3 linked regions of the Arabidopsis thaliana genome follow. The protein of the gene in region 3 interacts with the protein of the main gene of each other region in a pairwise test. Each region holds a gene or a part of one and is shown on either strand. Other genes may lie near its edges.

Region 1 (6,073 bases), on a different chromosome or scaffold from region 3:
TTATAATGTTACATTATCTTTCTGAATGTAAAAAAGTATTTTTTTTTTTAATTTTATTTTAGTTATAGTTCTCTTGGCCTAATGAGGGGATATACAATTTTTGGTTGATGAAATAATCTTGTGATATACATACAGAAAGAAGTTCTTCTTATATTCGAATAATAGTACAAGTGAGTAACCTTGTATACTATGTAAAAACTCCACTTCTATTTTAACCCCATTTTATATCTCACTCAAAAATAGAGTAAAAACTTAAGAATAGAGAACTATGGTCTTAGCATTGACATGAATCTTAAAAGTATATTGAATTTATTACTGAAACGTACAAAACAACACAAACATAAAACAGAAACTATAAAGCTTATTTGGTTCTTCAGATCATCATAAATTGGAGCTAATTCAGTGACCAGCCAGCACCATAAGCTTCTTCCAAGACGGTCTATCCGAAATCTCTTCCCACCACCGGTTAAAACTACCCCGAGCCTTAACCATCTGGTTTATATCGGTTATACTCATCAAGTACCCCATCGCCGGCATGTGCGTCAAATCAGCCATAGTGAATTCTTCACCAGCCAAAAACCGGTTCGAAGAAAGCCGGTTATTGTATATGTCCAAGACCACTCCTAGCTTCACTTTGAGATCCTCGACCAAAACGACGTCACATTTCTCGCCTAACCTAGGCTTGATGATTAGGTTAATCACGAGGGGTTGGGCCAGAACGTTGAAGTAATAGGTCTCCACGTCAGCCCACTGGTCCACGATGGCTCGGTGCTCTAGAGACTTGCCCAAAAGGTTCGTGCCTTGGTCCGCGAACTTGGTAGCGTAGTATCTCGCGATGGCTCGTGATTCTTAGAAGATAAAGAGCCAAATTTCAAAACACTATAAAGAAAATGATAGAAGAATGTTTATAAAATGTTGTTATTAGGATGTTACCAAAAAGCTTGAAATCTCCATCTTCTATGGCTGGAACTTGACCAAATGGCTACACATGAAAACAATAATTATAATATATTTATGTTTTAAGTTTAAGAAATTTGTTTTTTTTACCTGACGAAGAAGATGTTCTGGTTTTTTTTGCTCAAATGTATCAAGATCGATATGAATAATCTCAAATTCAATTCCTTTCTCGAGAAAACAAAGCAAGACTCTTTGTGGACAAGCTGCTGTTACCTGTCCATATAGTTTCACAACCATTCTATAAGTTTACAATAACTTTGTTACGAATAAGAAAGATTTTACTATATGCACTTATTAATATCTTGTCTATCAAACTGGTTTATAAATGAGAAGAAATGAGAGTAGATGTGTTGGCATTTTATTAGACTCAAGATTTGAAGAAACTGGTTGTTGTGAGGGTTGGGTAGAACATGTGGTGGTTGTTCCTCTAACGGTGGATATGTATCATTGAAATTTCTCTACAAACTTTTAGTTCCAACTATCAATAACAAAGTTCCCTTGTTTGGGAATAAAATTTCGATTACTATATATCGCTATCGAATTTTTGTTGTAAATGAGACGAACACTTCTCTTCCCAACAACCACTTTTGACTTGCATAATAAATAAGAAAGATTCAGAGAAAAAAACTACAAAACTAAGTGACGTTTTTGGGGTTCTCAAAGATTTCTACTTCAATCAAGAATAACAATCATTACAAAGTTTCAATACTCTTAATCAAACACATATCCGTTAATCATTTTGTCTAAATCTTCTACTAAACCTAACGTGCTTTACAAGCAAGCTTTGTCTGTTTTTAAGTGAACTGTCTTCTCATGTAAGTATCCTCATGAACAAAAACAGGATCTTCTACTCTCTCTGGAATCTGAGGCTGCCCCATTGCTATTCCTGTTCCTTGGGTCGTTGTGGCAGCAACAATTTGCTTATTTGAAGTCAAACATAAATAGTAGACAATCCCAAGGGCAATAGTAACAAGCGAAAGCACAGCACCGGTAGAGAAAACGCCTGGTTTCACTATGTAGCAAAAGTAGGTACCAGCATTCATTGATTCCTCGGTGTGTTCATCGTTGAGTGCAGCTCCAGAAAGCAGCACGAGGAAAGCTATTACAAAAGTGAACCTATAGTAACGCGAAATCACTCACTCACTAGTTGTAAGCAAATTATAAGTAGGAAACTTGAAGCAAGAAAAGGATTAGAAATGATGAGAATTACCAGGAAACAACAAAGCAGATTAAGGAGATAATCCAATTAGACCTTGAAGGAGCAGGACCTTTTCTACAACAGAAACAACCGCTTGAGACACTGACTATTATCTGAGCCATCATCAGAAAGAGAGCTGAAGTGAAGCCGAGATTGAAAGCTGGACTTCTTGGATAAGTGCATTTTGTGATTGAATCCGAAACGGTAACCGTGACCTGAGATCTCTGCATCGATTTTAAGATAAAAATGAAAAACAAAACCTTCAGAAAAAGTTTGAAACATTGCACAAATACACACCAAGAAAGTTTCTTAATAGACAGAGTAGTTCAAGAGAATAAAACTGATTCTACATACCCTGCAAATTCTATATGACTAATTGATTCTAAAAAAGATGATTCAACCGAATCGACCAATACATAAACCCCATTAAGAAAGGCTATAACTTTGGTTCAATAAATCCAAAAACACATATGTGAATTGTGAAAAGCTTGTGAATGAGACTTAGTTGAATTGGAATCTGACATTAAACATATCAATACATATGCAATTACCAAAACACACCAGAAAACAACTCTTTACCACACAGTCTCTCTACAAAAAAAATTACTATTAAACTTCTCAAAGATCTTCCAAATTTGAAATCAACAAGTTCTTCTATACAAAAACCACCGTGAATGGGGACCATTACTGTTTCATTGAAAAATTCCCAAACCAACGAGTTTCCCACCAATTATTATTCAACTCCCATCTCAAAGATTGAAGCTTTCATCTCAAACGCATTTTCAGGCAATGAATTTCAAAATCGACACATAAAAAGAAACGCAGACAAAACCCAAAAATCCTTTAGATAGAGTTTCAACAAACCATTGTGGCTGTAATAACCCAAAGATCATGAGAAAAACCACAAATTTCACTAAAAAACAGAAACCCTAAAAAGTGCTGAAGAAGAAACCTTGATTCGAGTAGCTTCAGCGACGAAGGCAGTAACAGCTGATAATAAACCAAGAAGAAATAAAACACCACACATCACAATCTTTCTCCTCTCCATCTCTGTCTCTCTCCCACCAACTCCGAAGATGCTGGCTTTTTTTTTTTAGTCTTTGTTTACTTTTTTTCTGCTTCTTCTTCGTTGGTAAGAAAATGGAAAGTTGGTGACAAACCCATTAAACACCGCACTCACTTTTAGTCGGCAAAGTACTCTACTCTCTCCTCCTTATTACATAGATCCACGCGTAATGGTACTTTCAAGTTTCAATAAAATGTATTTTCTCTGTTTTGGTTTGGTTTCTGATTTTGGTTTGATTTGTTCAATTCAGATCCGACCGGACCGGTTTGCTACTGAGGTATGCAAAGAAATTATTTAGAGAAAATTAATCTATTTAAAGTTTCCTCCATTTAACTAAATAAGAATAGCTTATTGGTTACATAGATTTTATTTTATTTAAGAGTTTCATCATTTATAAGACGAACACATTTTATCTGTTTCTTACTATAATTCAAAAATGAATAGAATGACAATATTCTTGACCAAAAATATAAAGAATGAAAATGAGAATTTTGTTCTATCATTTGTATTTTATTCGTCCATGAATTATTTATCTTTATTCATTTCAAATTTACTATTTATCTAATTAAAGAAATTAGATGGACTTATATTTGATAAAATTCTTATGAGGTTTCGTCATATTTACATTTTGGTTTAATCAATCTAAAGATTCTTGTGAATCAAAAAAGATTAGTGCCGCCTTGGATATATTCATCATATAAATGATTCAATCATAGGTCTCTCTTTCTCTCTTATGACATAAGTTAATGATGAATCTATTTTCTATCTTTAGATAAGCCATAATTAATTCATTCCTAGAATCAAGCATGTAAGCAATAGAAAGAATCAAGCATATAAGTAAACTTTCACTCTTATCGCTAAACAAAACGGTATAAAAATATATCGTTTGCGATTTGTTAAATACGTCAATAAGTTTGAATATTCCATAGTTATAAAGATTTCAATATCTCAATTATAGTCCATTATTAGTTTCCATGTTATAGCACACAAAATTAGTGATTAGCGATAATCTCTTACCATAGAAACACAAAATCAAACGCAATATCTTTCAATTAACCACCTTTCTTTATACAAACCTATATATACATTTAGAGATATATATAGATAGAAAACGTATTATCATCGAAATTCGTTCTCATCGTCAAGCATATGAGTCGTCCAAAAATGAAATCTTCGTTGTTCTTTGTCTTGTTATGTTTGTTTCAAATAAACAAATTATGTTTCTGCTTAGAAGAAGAATCTCTAAAGGTTAAAAACGGATTTGGAAGCAATGGATTCATAAGTGTCACTAGTTTCGGAGCTATTGGCGATGGAAAGACTGATGATACTAAGGTGTTTATTTATAGAATCATCACTATTTGTATCAAAGTGGTATGTATAACCTTTGTTTTAATGTATGTGTTATGTGTATCAATATATTTCAGGCTTTTCTTAAAGCATGGGAAGCTGTATGCAAAGGAGGACACAATAGAAAGATTCTTGTGCCTCAAGGGAAAACCTTCATGCTTAAGCCTCTTACATTCATCGGTCCATGCAAGTCTTCGACCATCTCCTTATCGGTATATATATACTTGTCTCTTTCTCTTGTTTCAAATTATATTGGAAAATCCAGCCCTAATGTGAATGATTTCAATAGTGATCGATTTTAGCTTATGAGTAGACAATAACTCGAACCAATGTTTAAATAATTTGGTGATTTATTTACATTAGATAAGAGGTAATCTTGTGGCACCGGGTTACACTTGGTATGCGGGAAGATACACAACATGGATTAGTTTTGACAGTATCAATGGTCTTGTTGTCACCGGAGGTGGTACCATCGACGGTCGTGGTTCTTTGTGGTGGGGCAACGTTAATAATCGCCCCTGCGTAAGTCCATTTGCAAGATCCTCACAACCATAAATATGAACTTCGATCAAATATTTATTCTCAGTTATTAATGATGTTTCTTTTTCTTCCTTGCTTTTCTTAGGCAATGCACTTCAACAACTGTAATGGTCTTAGGATATCTAATCTCCGACATTTGAACAGCCCTCGGAACCATGTAGGTCTAAGTTGTTCACAGAACATCGAGGTCAGGGGTTTAAGGATGACAGCACCCGGTGATAGTCCAAACACGGATGGTATTGACATATCGAACTGTATAGGAGTCCACATACATGACTCAGTGATTGCCACTGGAGATGACTGCATCGCCATTAATAGCGGTTCCTCTCATATCAACATAACCGGCATTTTTTGTGGCCCCGGTCACGGTATCAGGTGATTCCTAAAATCACAGATTCACAAACAATCATCATATAATATACAGCAAGGTACATGCTAAATCATTTATAGTATGGATTTGATATTATAGCGTAGGAAGTCTTGGAGTAACTGGAGATTTCGAAACTGTTGAAGAAGTGAGGGTAAAGAACTGCACTTTTACAAAAACACAGAACGGTGTCCGAATCAAGACATACCAGGTTGTCCATTAATCTTCTTTTTTTATTATACATCATTAGTTCTTGGTCTTATTCAGCATTTTCACAAACTAAATCTGTTTTTTTTTGTTGGCGTGAATGTTTTGTAGAACGGATCGGGATATGCTCGGAAAATCTCATTCGAGGATATCAACATGGTTGCCTCAGAGAACCCTATTATCATAGACCAGACTTACCACAATGGAGGTACGAACGGAGGAATAAGCAAGTCATCTAGTAGCTATCAGAACTGTCATTTAACAGCAAAACAACGGACTCCGTCTGGTAATGGGAAAGGCGTGAAAGTGACTGACGTGCGTTACGCTAGAATCCGTGGGTCATCTGCAAGCGATCAAGACATTACATTGAACTGCGATGCAGACTTGGGAT
Region 2 (7,446 bases), 9.5 Mb from region 3:
AAATACACTAATTCTCACACGCAATTTTGGTAACTTACAAAGACTTTTTTTGACTCTTGACTGATTCATTCAAATGCCTAATTTCATATATAAAATAACAAATTTCTTTCTCAAATGACCACATACTCAATTTACAAAAAAAAAAAAAAAAGAAGAAAGATGAAAATGCATCACATTCTCTCGATAGTTTTGGCAATTATACTCGCTTCCTCCGTTGCAGAAGCTTTTCTCGATGAAAAAACTCAACAAAGGGTCAACGGAATCTGCAAGCAGACAATGGATACCAGATTTTGCAGTAGTCTCTTGATCAAGAACCTGAATACTTTTCCCGCAAGTAACAAAGAAATCATGAACGTGACAGTAAGCGAAGCTGAAAGGTTCGCGGCCAACACTTATTTCTTCATCAGCACGCTTCTCAGGAATGCTGGAGACGAGAGGCCTGATCTTCAAGCGTGCGCCGAAGCTTACGCCATTGTGAACTCGGCGTTCACGAAAGCTGTAACCTTCTTCAAGCAAGCTTACTACAGTAAGATTGTCAATATCGAAAAGAAAGTTTCTATGGCTGTTGATATCTGTAAGACAGATTTCAATGTGCTCGGTTATCAGATCAATCCGTTGATTGAGAAAAACAGACAGACGAAGATCTTACTATCCATGGAACAGATTGTTAGTCATATGGTTTCTTCATAATCTGATTGTTGTTGAATCATGACATAGTAGCAAATGTTTCCAGAAATATTCTAATTAATAATGGTTACAGAATCTTCTTAATTGCAATTCTCTATATGCATATATGTTTTTAATGGCGATGCTGATGCTGAGGTTGAATTGAACTGAACTTGATAAGGATAAAAATAAACACTTGGGATATAATATAATATATCTTTTTCTGTAAGATCTAATTCTGTTTTTGCTTCTATGAATTATGACCTTATGGCAAAATCAGGTGGTCAATAATACTAATAAATGTCCATAGTGTTTGTCTTTGACAATTAAGTCTAACTAAATCGCATGTGATTCTCCATGTTCTGTATCAAATCTACTATATCTATCGATTACAGGTACATGAACCGAGATAAACCTTGCAACTCGTAATCAAGAATGACGAAGAAGATTAACAAAACAGAACAGCGACTCTGTTTTGATTCGTATATAACACTTGAGTTACTAAACCAGGATTAAACCGTTACAGCCAATTGTAATTGACTTGCACGAACCGAAACCCTCTGTTTCAAGGCACTATTTTACATTTTGGGTCTAAATGAATATTGAAGGTCTGTAATAACTTTCACCCTCTGACAAAACATAAAATAAATTACTTGAAGACTATGATTTGATTTGTTTTGGGGATAAAGGAAATAGGTTATTAGAAAGAAAATAAGATAATGGAAACGATGAAGATTAAGAATACTGAATATATATAGAGATCAAACAGGTGATATTTGTTGTCCATAGGATGAACACACAAATCAACACTCCATCATTAGCCTCAAAATGGGATACAAAATTAAACACTCCGAAAATCCAATTTAGTTGCAGTAACTTAGATAACAAGAAATCCCAAAAGGTTCTTCCATAGCTCATACTTATATATGATGAAGAAGCAATCACCATTTTAAGGCGATGTAGACCTTGTGGAACCATTTCCACTACTTGCTACCGGTAATCTCGATTCAATATCTTCATTACTTTCACTCTTGACTTTATGGTTTTGTTGTTTCACCTTCTCCCTTTCTTCTTCCTTCTCACTCACCTCTCTGTCTTTCCCCCACAATACGCCATAGAGACCAATAACCACAAGTGCTGATCCCATAAACCTAATATACATATATCATATAAATTCATCATCATCATCTCGTTTATATAATGTTTAAACACACAGAGAGATAGATAAAGATGTATAGAAACATACGTGCCGGTGTAGAGTTTCTCTTCAAGAAGAGCCCAGCTGAAAATGGCGACAACTACGAGAAGTAAAGGGCTGAAAACAGAGACGTACAGAGGACCTTTCCTCTGCATAGCCCATGACATTAGGCAGAAAGCTAACGCAGACGCCACCACTCCCTGCATGATCCGTGTTTTATACTAGTGTCATATATTTTTAGCTTAAGATTGTTATCTAATGATCATAGTATATGTATGTGGACTTACGGCATAAAGGGCGGATATGAAGCGGAGAGGAGAGCTGAGAGACCAATCAGAGATTGTATGATCGGAGATCAAAGCAATGGCTCCACATTGGATACTTCCCATCAAACACATTAGTAGTGTGCTCGTGTACGGTGCTGCAAATGTTTCACTCATCTTCGTCTGTAACCAAAATAATATTTATCATAACCAAATGAGAATTTAGTTTCATTTTCCATTATGTGGGTTCAAATTGTTTGAAGCTACATTTTTTTTTAATTAAGTAATTAAGTTACCTGGATAATGAACCAAGCGGCCCAAGAAACGGCAGCAGCCATAATAAGAAAAGGTCCCAAGAAGAAATTAGAATGGCCAGAACTGGAACCATGTTTCGTGATGTTTTCAGCGTAGGCCCAATGGATCTTGGATTCTCCAATGCCGATGGTGTGACCATGGTAGAAGGAGAGAACCATGGCTCCGATCACACATACTAGCGTCCCTATCACTTTGGCTTGTCCTGATGCCTTCTTGATCCCCACGGTTTCTTGTCTGAAAAGAAAAAAGTCTTGTGTTAAGCAATAATCATAAACGAGTATTGTCTGAAGGAAACTTAATTAAGATTAATTTCATATAACCTGAATATTGCGGCGAGGAGGAAAGTGACCGCTGGTAAGAGATTAGTTAAGGCACAAGCAATGGTCGGAGATGAATTCTGAAGTCCTACGAAATATAGCACTTGGTTTCCAGTCGCACTGCAAAGAAAATCAATGTAAATCGCTTTATAACAAAGTAAGATTGCAATTAGTAGGTAAAGTGTATGTAAGATACCCAGTAATGGAGCAGAAGAAGACTTGGACAAGAATCCTAAGTGTGATCTTCGGTCTTGTCTTCCTGCACAAGAAACCGTGTATGAAAAATTTATGTTTTCATTAGTCCACTAATCATTATTAATCAATTAAAGCATTTCTCATTGAATGTAATCATGCAACTAATCCTAAAACCACCCGGTTAAGTTAAACCGAGACTCAAGAAAACAATCAAATTCACTTCTCATATCATATGAAGAGATTAGAGTGGAGAAACAGAGTAAAAAACGTAATTGAAGAAGCACGTGTCTTGGCAAATGAAGATGGCACGGCACCTGACGACGCTTAACTCACCTGGCATCATGATTTGTTTGTCATCATGTGCTTCGGTTTAAGAAAGAAACGTGACGCGTGGATTGTGTGAGACTGCGTCACATTTCTCATTTGTTTCTCTCTCGGAAAACGGAATTAATGATAATGTAACTACTTAGGTTTCCACATACCACCAAAATCATTGACGGTACCATGATTATGAAAAAATAACGGTAAATACTAATCCCAATAAACAAAAGAAAAAAGCTAGTGTCTACTACATTTCAACTAATTAATCAGCGTCACTTTACCACTTTTTTGTCTTTTTTTTCTTTACCACATTTTTCTTCACATTCTGAATTAATATTATTCATCAAGAAACTTATAGCTTACCATATACCATTATATGCGTATTCTATCGTAATCTCCGGAAAATAAGACGATGTCGTGCTAAACTTTTTTTCTTAATTATTAGTTTAGTGTTTTTAATTTTTAGTCTTCTAAATGGAGGTTCATTTGTTGCCAAAATTGTAAAATAATAAGAAGTAAATTAATGAATTTAAATCTATTCAACGTATAGTACTGATGAATTAAGTTATTAACATATATCAAAAAAAATCTTGACCACAAAAAAAAAAGACTTTAAGCATGCAGTACTTCTATGTCAATAAATTAAAAAGCTTGATTTTTGAAACTTTTGGAAAGTAATAAATTTAGGTGACGCAAGAAAGTTCAAAGACGTAAAAACGTTCTACATGAGACTCACAAAGCCATTTAGTAAATGGTTTTTCGTCGTTAATATTTTAATATACGCACTCACCATTTTGACGTTTATGTTGATGAATATGATTTCATCATTTTCTACTTTCGCAGTTAAGACAAACTTGAAAACACAAAAAAACAATGCTAAAAGAAAAATTTAGCTAATCAAAGTTTAGCATTTCTTGCTGATCTTTGTAAAACATAGACTCACCACCTAAAACCTAATTACTTTTAACCCCAAAAAAGTAATAAAAACACCCATATGCTTTATTCAAGAATTAAAACAAATTCAACATTTCATCGATGCAATTGTTTTAATCGTGTAATTCATACATGTCTAAAATCGTTAGTTGATCAAATAAGATGTATATGGGCAGATATTAGTATGGTTTTTTTTTTACCGTTCGAGAAAAAATGCGACCGGAAAAGTGGCGATAGTGGCAAATATCTGACGATAAGCGACCAGGATGAGTGGCTTCATACCGGCCTCCATAGCCATCTTCGACGTAATGTTCATGCCTGCGTAGCCGATTTGCACCAACACCATCGCCAAGAACGGCAACATATCTGATTTAGCCATCTCTCACTCTCTTTTATTTTATTCTTCCAATTTATGTGTTTATGTGTATCTCCAAAATATGCCTCTCTCACTATTACTAATCAATAATAATAGGTCAAGAAACCAAGAAAAAAAAATAAGGGAGAGAGGTGGATTCTCTATATCATTTATTAGTTTCCCCAAATCTATATTTTATTTTGGTTCGACCTTATATTTATAGCCAAAGATGTATATATACACACATTTATATATACATGCACATACATATATTTATTTATATACATACATATATATAGAGAGAGATGTTTTAAACAGAAAGGTGAGAAACGGTTCGAGAATGAAGTTTGCTTGTAACACTTGGACTCTCTTTAGGGCATAAGAACACGAAACAATAGGTGATATGAATCATTTGATATTTTTGGCAATTTATTTAAATTTTCTCCTTGCTGATTACTAATACAATCCAAATTGGCGTTTTGTCAAAAAAAAATCTAACTTATTTTCCTCGTTTTAATCCATTTTTTTGGTTTCCGTTTTTTCATGGGTTTGGTGGAGCTTGTGAATGTCTTTCTCAAGCTTCAAGCAATCAATTTGCCTTTGCTAAAACTCGTTTCTGTGATATTAAACCAAGGGCTTGGTTTATCGCTTGATTAACAATATCGAATTAGTATTATCTTACGTATTTTGAATTGATTTTCATTATATCACTCTTGCTTTTTGTCAAACTTTTGTGTGTGTAATATATATCATAAATGGTAAATTAACTATTTATATCCCAAAAGGGTTGGAAGTTGGGCATGGATTATCGAATATATATTGAATGGCATGCATCTTATGCAATATAAATATAACTAGGTAAGTATCCGCAAAATGTATGCATCTAATTATTTCTAAAATTTAATATATAATTAAATTCATGATTATATTATTACATGTTTCAGTTCGACTGCATACTGTATATATACTATATATTTTTAATGTATGAACTAGGTAATCATTTACACAATGGGTTGGACATACGTAATTTAAGAATATCTTTGAAAATAACTGGAATTTATATCATTAAAAAGTAGGATATAACTAGAGTGGCTAGTATAATTTTCAGAAAACTAATTAATTTTTAATTAAAAACTATACTGAAACATAATGATTTATATATAAAACTTTAGTAAACTAAAGTAAAATGCATAATGAAAACTTGTATAATATAAGAAAATCTCATATACAAAACAACATATATTGTTGGGCCAATTATTGGTCTTAAAAGGCCTCATTTATTCTTAAAAGGCCTTTCCTTAGGTGTACAGTGACTTCCTTGAGCAAGAATGTCATTTCATATGGATAGAGATAAAACATTGGTCTGTAGTCAGCACATAGGTATACCAAACACGTTAAACTTTTTTGTTGGCTGAAATTTGAGAAAGTAAGTGATGCTTAACATTTTGCTGGATATCAGTGGTTAATTTTTATACGAAATGCTTTTGGAGTTGAAGATGAATAAATTATGAGTAATGCTCCATTTGCATAAGTCAAACAAGCTAGCGTTGGCGTCCAGATGATTAATTTCCGCGTCCTCTTTGGCTTCCAAGTTCCAACGTAAATTTTCGCCGCATATTTTTTCGATCTTATCTTTTCGTTGTTACGTACAAAAGGAAAATTCCATTGTACATTCGTTTTGGATATATACTTTAGGATGCATATGCATATTTATGTATGAACAATTAGCATCTACATTGGAGCTGGAGCCAACAGTAAGCTTGAGTTATGTGTCTGTCACTGTCAACCACCAACATACAAAGTCTTAGGCTTTGTTTTTAAATTCACTAAAGAATCACACTCACACACTATAGCTTAAAATAAGAGAAATAAGGCCCACACACTTAAGGCTTACCATTATTACAATTTATTACAAAGCTTTCGATCTTCACTCTATCTTGATCAAATCTCTACTAGCAAGTTACAATGGCTACTCTCTCTCTTCACTCCCACTCTTTCCTTCTTGTTCTCCTTCCGTTTATCCTCATTCTCCGACAAAACTTGGCAGTGGCCGGAGGATGTCAGGTTCCGCCGGTGATTTTTAACTTTGGCGATTCCAACTCCGACACGGGTGGACTCGTCGCCGGACTCGGATACAGCATTGGTCTTCCTAACGGTCGTTCGTTTTTCCAGAGATCCACCGGCCGATTATCCGACGGACGCCTCGTCATCGATTTCCTTTGTAAGTCAACTTTCTCTTGACTTTTTTTAACTCTAGTTAATTATTTAGACGGTGGAGATTAGAGGTAAGTGCAATGAAGTCGTGACAACCGTCCGATGGAATAGATGTAAACCTTAATCAACGGCTAATAATTGATGACGGTGATCGCGTTGCGTGATGCCACAAAACGACACAATTCACTCGTTGAAATGATGAAAATCTAATCCAAAGAAAAGTGGGTCCCACTTACCAACATGGGAAGATATCACAATCAAAAGTGGGTGCCACCATGTAGATTCGGCGCGTGAACCCACTCGTTACATTAGATTGCGTGACTAAAGAGTCAAACAACGCCGTATAGTAAAAGATGCGTTCTGTTTTTTTTTTTTTTTTTTGGTATCAATGTTAAGTATGCGTTCTGTTTTGTCCAAATCACATGTTATAAGGTTTCATATTTTAGTCATTTATATACTATAATGCATGAAAATATTTTGTTACTAACGATATGCAGATTCAAGTTAAATTTTGGTGGTTGGTAAAGTTGAAATGCAACTTCTATATCTAACTTCAAAAGTAAATATGAATCTAATATTCCATTCTTTTCTGACATATTGGCAGGCCAGAGTTTGAATACAAGTCTATTGAACCCATACTTAGACTCATTGGTTGGATCAAAGTTCCAA
Region 3 (5,702 bases):
GCTAGTTTTATGAATCTACGAAAAGTTGTGATTACTTATATACATATATTCTTTTATGTAAGTGTTGTTTTGTGGCAAATGTATGTAGTCAGATTGCTTCTATAATGCTGGATGGACAGATGATATAAGGGTAGTTCTTGATTATCTTCAACACAAATACCCGAGGGCTCCTCTCTTTGCTATTGGCACTAGCATTGGAGCAAATGTTCTGGTACTAAATCAGGAACCGCAGTGTTTTACTTAGCTTTGAATGATGTTTAAGTGTGAAGATTTGCTTTGTTTTTCATGGACTTTTTGTTACATATTGCTCAGTTGGCTGCACCATATGCTACATTCAAAAAAACGATTTCAAGCTAAAAGAGTAGATTGATTATATATGTTTTTCAAATACCATTGATATGCGTGAGGAGGTTCCTGAATTTATCTTATGCTTCAGGTAAAATACCTTGGGGAAGAGGGTGAAAAGACTCCTCTGAGAGGTGCTGTTGCTATCTGCTCTCCATGGGACCTCTTGGTGAGCTATTTTTCATAACTGTCTTGTTCTTTGTATATTGATTCGTGTCTGAAGTTGTCTCTAATAACTTGACGAGAAATTATGACTTCCTTAATTTTCTTCATTGGGTTCTGATTTCAGACCTTTGAACTTGTAAATAGTACTAAGGGTTTTGTTTGATACAAGTGGATGCTTGATACGTTATGCTTTTTCTTTTCCTTTTCTCCTCCCAACAAGATTGGTGACAGGTTTATCTGTCGGACTTTGAAACAAAAGCTCTATGACAAAGCTCTCACCATCGGACTCCAAGGTTATGCCCAATTGTATGTCCACCAAGAACTGCCTAGATTTTGAGTTTGTAAGATGGGCTGAGAGGAGATATTTCCGTTTTACTGCTTTGAGAAGATCAGGTTTCAGTTATAACTTTTGGTTTCATTGCAGGCATGAACCTCAGTTTTTACGGCTTGCTAATTGGGAAGGCATCAAAAAGGTTAGTAGGTTAATTAACCACAGGCCCATAAGTTATACAGTCTACTTGGTAGATGCATTGAAACAAGCAGAGTTCTTAAGCAAATAACTTACATATTTCTTTCCCTATCGACGTTGTCTGTTGTTGTCCGTTGTTTTTACTTCATCAGTCACGTTCCATCCGAGATTTTGACAACCATGCTACCTGTCTAGTTGGAAAATTCGAGGTATTAGTTCTCCTCCATATTATCTTAACTTCTGATGTTAGTTTTCCACCGCAATTGGCTTTGTAATTCATATATTCATCTTTGCAATGCTCTTCATAATCACCATTAAGTTCTCTGTTGATTTAATATAAGTACAACGGGTTGCACCTTTATGCAGACTGTGGATACGTATTACCGAAAATCGAGCAGCACTCAATACGTAGGAAATGTGGCGGTGCCACTACTCTGTATAAGTGCTCTAGATGATCCATTATGCACAAAGGAAGCTATTCCCTGGGACGAATGCAGGTAAGACGCTATCTATCTCTTTTTAAATCTTAAATCCTGTTACAGCGATTAACATGAAGTTTCTATTGAAAAGGGCCAACAAAAACATTGTCTTGGCTACAACAAATCACGGGGGACATCTAGCGTTCTTCGAAGGATTAACTGGATCTAGCTTATGGTTGGTATATTTCAGATTGTAACTAAGTAATAATAGTACTTCCTATTTTGACTGCCTATATATGTTGTTGTGTATAGGTGGGTTCGAGCCACCAACGAGTTTCTTGGCGTCCTTAGCTGCAGTCCTTATATGCATATACAGAAAGTAAGTTTCCGTTTATTAGAATTGCAGTTTAGATAATTTAACTCTTCTCTCTATTTCTTTCTTCCTAAGATTATCAATTTTTTTGCAGATTGTAGATAAAAGAAGCTCAGGGTCAGGGAAACAAGAGCCATCGATAAACCAAGGCCCGTACCTAAACATTGCAGAAGACGGGTTGGTGGCAGCAGTCAAATATGAGCAAGACACCAATAAGACCACACTGAAGCAGAGAGGGCGAAAGCCTGAGGAAGATGTAACAAAGAAAAGCTTTAAAGAGCTGTGTAGGCAGACAAAACAGTCGGTATGGTGGCTTGGTTACATAGGCATGGTTACAAGTTTCCCTTTACTTGGGATGCTCCTAAACTACATCTTCCGTAAGAAGCAACGACCCACAACAACATCCACATCCTGAAGTTGCTTTCTTTCTCAACATCTCCATTCACTCATTCTTCTATCTGTTAACCTATTATCGATTATTGAGAATGTTAATAATCATCTAATTTTTTTTTATCATAAGCATAGTAATTATGTAGAGTTTTCATGAAGGAAAGGAGTGGAATCGCTCAAACTCATTTTTTGTCTTATTATTTCGGAGAATCCTTTCATTAAAACTGACTTCGATCGAAGATCAAATCATTTGGTTTGAGTATAAGTTTAGATGTTCCTGGAAAATCATATTACTCTGAATAATCCAAAATATTAGTATGTTATCTCAGTGGCATTACCGTTAAAATATGAAACTATAAGGGTATTCTGGGAAGTTGGTGATTACATTTTTTTCTTTTCCTGGCAACTTCGAGAGCTTTTAAGCGCAGAAGAAACTCGTTAAAAATCTTGGCGAGAAAAGTTGAGAACTGGAATCGAAGAAGCGATAGGGTTTTGGTTACTTGGAGTGTGAGTATTTTAGTTACCACCGCTTGCAATTTCAAATTGGTTTCTTTTTTCCGGTGACATTTAGTAAGACAATGGAAGAAATAAGATCGGCGATGGAGAAGCAAGTGGATCTCGTAGCGGATCTGGTTGAGAAACTCTCCGGAGAGCTCCGAACGGGGTTTCAACCTGCTTACGATAATTTCTTGGGGTTTTTCCACGCCATTGATTGGAAGGTAATGAGAATCTTTCTTCGTATTGCATCATTTGGTCTTGAGGAATTTAGAATCACAAGTCTAGATAAATTCTCGGTATTTGTAGAATTTCATTTGAATTCTGTGAGAATTTGAGATTCCATAAACTATACTCATATACATTGGTTTTTTCTCATCTGGCATTTTTTGGTTACAGGAACCTTGGATTATGGGTTTAATGGCGTTTCATGCTTTGTTGTTACTAGTGACTCTTCTTTCTAGAAGGCATCTCAACTTCCATATGTTCCTCTTCTTATTGGCTTGTAAGTTCCCTTTGAAACTGTCTATATATATATTGTACAAGAAATCTCTTCGATCTAATGATCTCACTAGTCTAGGTTGTGGCATTCATAGTGGATCAAGTGTTTGAGAAGCTAGTACTGACATGTTTTACTTCACTCTAGCTTATGATTGAATGCACTAGGCTTTGTTTTCTTTGTTTAGTACAATAGGATTATCGGATCATCGATGTTTGGTAAAACGAAAATATGATATTCATTTGTCTACTCAATAGCTGTGTTAGTTTAGATTATGAACTTAGTGATTGGCATATTTCTTTGCGATATTTTGTGAGTCGTCACTGCATCAATTAGAGTTTTTTCTTTTCTTAGTACACGTTATTGAGACTGATGATGTGACAAAAAATTTGCAGTGGCTGGGGTATACTTTGCAGAGAATCTCAACCGGGAGTTGAGGAAAAACTGGAAGAGCTTCTCAACTCAAAACTACTTTGACTCGAACGGAGTCTTCCTATCGACTCTCTGGTCTGGACCACTTTTGGTCATTGCAATGATAATCCTGGTAATGTGTTCAGCAATCTTTCCCTTTCTTCTCTGCATTAATATATTAGAATCTACTTGCTAGCTCTTAATAAATTGTTCCCAAGTAAAACATACTTTGATTGAGCAGTCATATTAACTGAGAAATCGAGGATATGTTTCGTGTTTGATTTGGTTTTAACTCTTAAGAGTATTTGTAGTCCTTAACTCAAACCATAGTACCATACTGATCCATGTCTTGTTTAGGATTTTAACGAACTATGTGTAGTGAATGTGGAAAATCTGATGGAGGTGTTGTGTTTTTGACAGATAAACACACTCTTTTCGCTTTGCTACTTAATCGTAAAGTGGAAAAGAGCTGAGCTCAGGCATCGCGCAAGGCTTGCTCATACCAAGGAGGAATGATCCCACTTTTTTTAATCTCACATTTATGTATACTCTCACACAATGCATCAAAACTGTTTTGAGTTTTTTAGTAGAAGCTGCTCTTTTATGTATTTCGTTTTCAATTGAATCGAATTGTATCAAACCGAACCAAACCAAATTATTCTACTTCGGTCTGTTATGGTTAAAGTTTTGAAACCCCGAATTGAATGATTTGGCATCAATTTCTAGGCATGAAAAAATTGTAGAAAAGCACATACATAAATAATCGATGACCATGTCCATACCAAACAAAAAATGAAATGAAAAATTCATGTGTTTAGTGTTTAACCGACCTAAATTTGAATTAATTAAGGGTTTAATTTGGTTATTAAAATTTGAAATTGTCGTAATAAGAGATGATGCCACAATTAGCCGTTACGAGTAAATAGAGAGAGAGAGGTCGTCGGATTCAACAACGGACTCTTTTTCAAAATCAGAAGGAGATAGAGAGAGAAAGAGAGAAACACTCTCTAAATCTTCTTCTTCTTCATCTCTTTCGTTTTCCATTTTCGAAAATCTCTCAATCGTTCGTTCTTACAGACTTATTCATGGAGGTCAAGGAAGAGAAACTGATGGAGGAGAAGCAACGATTGCCGGAGAAGACGATCCCTGTGTTCACCGTTCTGAAAAACGGCGCTATTCTCAAGAATATCTTCGTTGTGAACAGTCGCGATTTCTCGTCGCCGGAGAGAAACGGTTCCACTGTAAGCGATGATGACGGTGAAGTAGAAGAGATTCTCGTCGTCGGTCGTCATCCAGATTGTGATATTCTTCTTACGCACCCTAGCATTAGCAGATTCCACTTAGAAATCCGCTCGATCTCTTCTCGTCAGAAACTCTTCGTCACGGATCTATCCTCTGGTATGAATCATCTCTAACTCATGTTTATATTCCTCTCGCGAGATTGTTGTTACTGTGGAATTGGATCTCGATTATATGTGTTTCTGATTGTTGATTGGATTGTGTTTTTTCGATTTAGTGCATGGGACTTGGGTTAGGGATCTTAGAATCGAGCCACATGGTTGTGTTGAGGTTGAAGAAGGTGATACGATTAGGATTGGTGGTTCAACAAGGATCTATAGGCTTCACTGGATTCCGTTGAGCCGTGCGTATGATTTAGACAATCCGTTTGTTTCACCACTTGATGCGTCTACGGTGTTGGAGCAAGAAGAAGAGAATAGAATGCTTGAAGCAGAAAATCTAGAGGTAGCACAACATCAGGTTCGATCTTTGATGTTTTCTCATATTTAGCTGTCCTTATTTTGCTTTAATTCTATACTTATCTGATGTTGTTTGCTTAGCCTGATAGTGTAATCTGCCTTTACTGCAGTCACTAGAGAATACTACATCAGGTGATGAGGGAGTTCTGCATCTAGATGTCACGTCAGAAGGAACTGGATCATCAGTTCCTAGTGAGGATGAGGATACGTATGTTACGACAAGGGAGATGTCTATGCCAGTTGCGTCTCCAAGTGTTTTGACGCTAGTTAGAGATTCTGTCGAGACACAAAAGCTACAATTCAATGAAGATTTGCAGACTTCACCAAAGTGGGACTTGGATGTTATAGAATCTGTAGCAGAGAAGCTAAGTGGCAGCTT

The links.
Region 1: the proteins of AT1G34350 (region 3) and AT5G17210 interact in a protein complementation assay, tested with the Arabidopsis thaliana proteins (one large-scale study listed by BioGRID).
Region 2: the proteins of AT1G34350 (region 3) and UMAMIT25 interact in a protein complementation assay, tested with the Arabidopsis thaliana proteins (one large-scale study listed by BioGRID).

The regions. Positions count from the first base shown.
Region 1 is NC_003076.8:5,653,649-5,659,721, reverse strand, and holds AT5G17210 (transmembrane protein, putative (DUF1218)), read right to left. Parts: upstream 3,375-6,073; 5' UTR 3,204-3,374; coding exon 3,108-3,203; exon of another isoform or gene 2,844-3,107; intron 2,380-2,843; coding exon 2,168-2,379; intron 2,074-2,167; coding exon 1,752-2,073; 3' UTR 1,529-1,751; downstream 1-1,528. Other genes in the region: GSTF12 (glutathione S-transferase phi 12), read right to left, coding at 400-848, 934-982, 1,048-1,194; AT5G17200 (Pectin lyase-like superfamily protein), read left to right, coding at 4,386-4,553, 4,646-4,780, 4,932-5,090, 5,194-5,483, 5,578-5,686, 5,794-6,073.
Region 2 is NC_003070.9:3,024,736-3,032,181, forward strand, and holds UMAMIT25 (nodulin MtN21 /EamA-like transporter family protein), read right to left. Parts: upstream 4,815-7,446; 5' UTR 4,588-4,814; coding exon 4,409-4,587; intron 3,019-4,408; coding exon 2,956-3,018; intron 2,880-2,955; coding exon 2,763-2,879; intron 2,677-2,762; coding exon 2,424-2,676; intron 2,311-2,423; coding exon 2,152-2,310; intron 2,065-2,151; coding exon 1,913-2,064; intron 1,818-1,912; coding exon 1,616-1,817; 3' UTR 1,327-1,615; downstream 1-1,326. Other genes in the region: AT1G09370 (Plant invertase/pectin methylesterase inhibitor superfamily protein), read left to right, coding at 160-690; AT1G09390 (GDSL-like Lipase/Acylhydrolase superfamily protein), read left to right, coding at 6,529-6,784, 7,382-7,446.
Region 3 is NC_003070.9:12,531,846-12,537,547, forward strand, and holds AT1G34350 (Tmem18), read left to right. Parts: upstream 1-2,580; 5' UTR 2,581-2,739; coding exon 2,740-2,880; intron 2,881-3,055; coding exon 3,056-3,236; intron 3,237-3,550; coding exon 3,551-3,699; intron 3,700-3,986; coding exon 3,987-4,082; 3' UTR 4,083-4,250; downstream 4,251-5,702. Other genes in the region: AT1G34340 (alpha/beta-Hydrolases superfamily protein), read left to right, coding at 89-211, 437-514, 731-816, 935-983, 1,132-1,188, 1,346-1,476, 1,550-1,633, 1,711-1,777 and 1 more; PS1 (forkhead-associated (FHA) domain-containing protein), read left to right, coding at 4,652-4,964, 5,083-5,324, 5,434-5,702.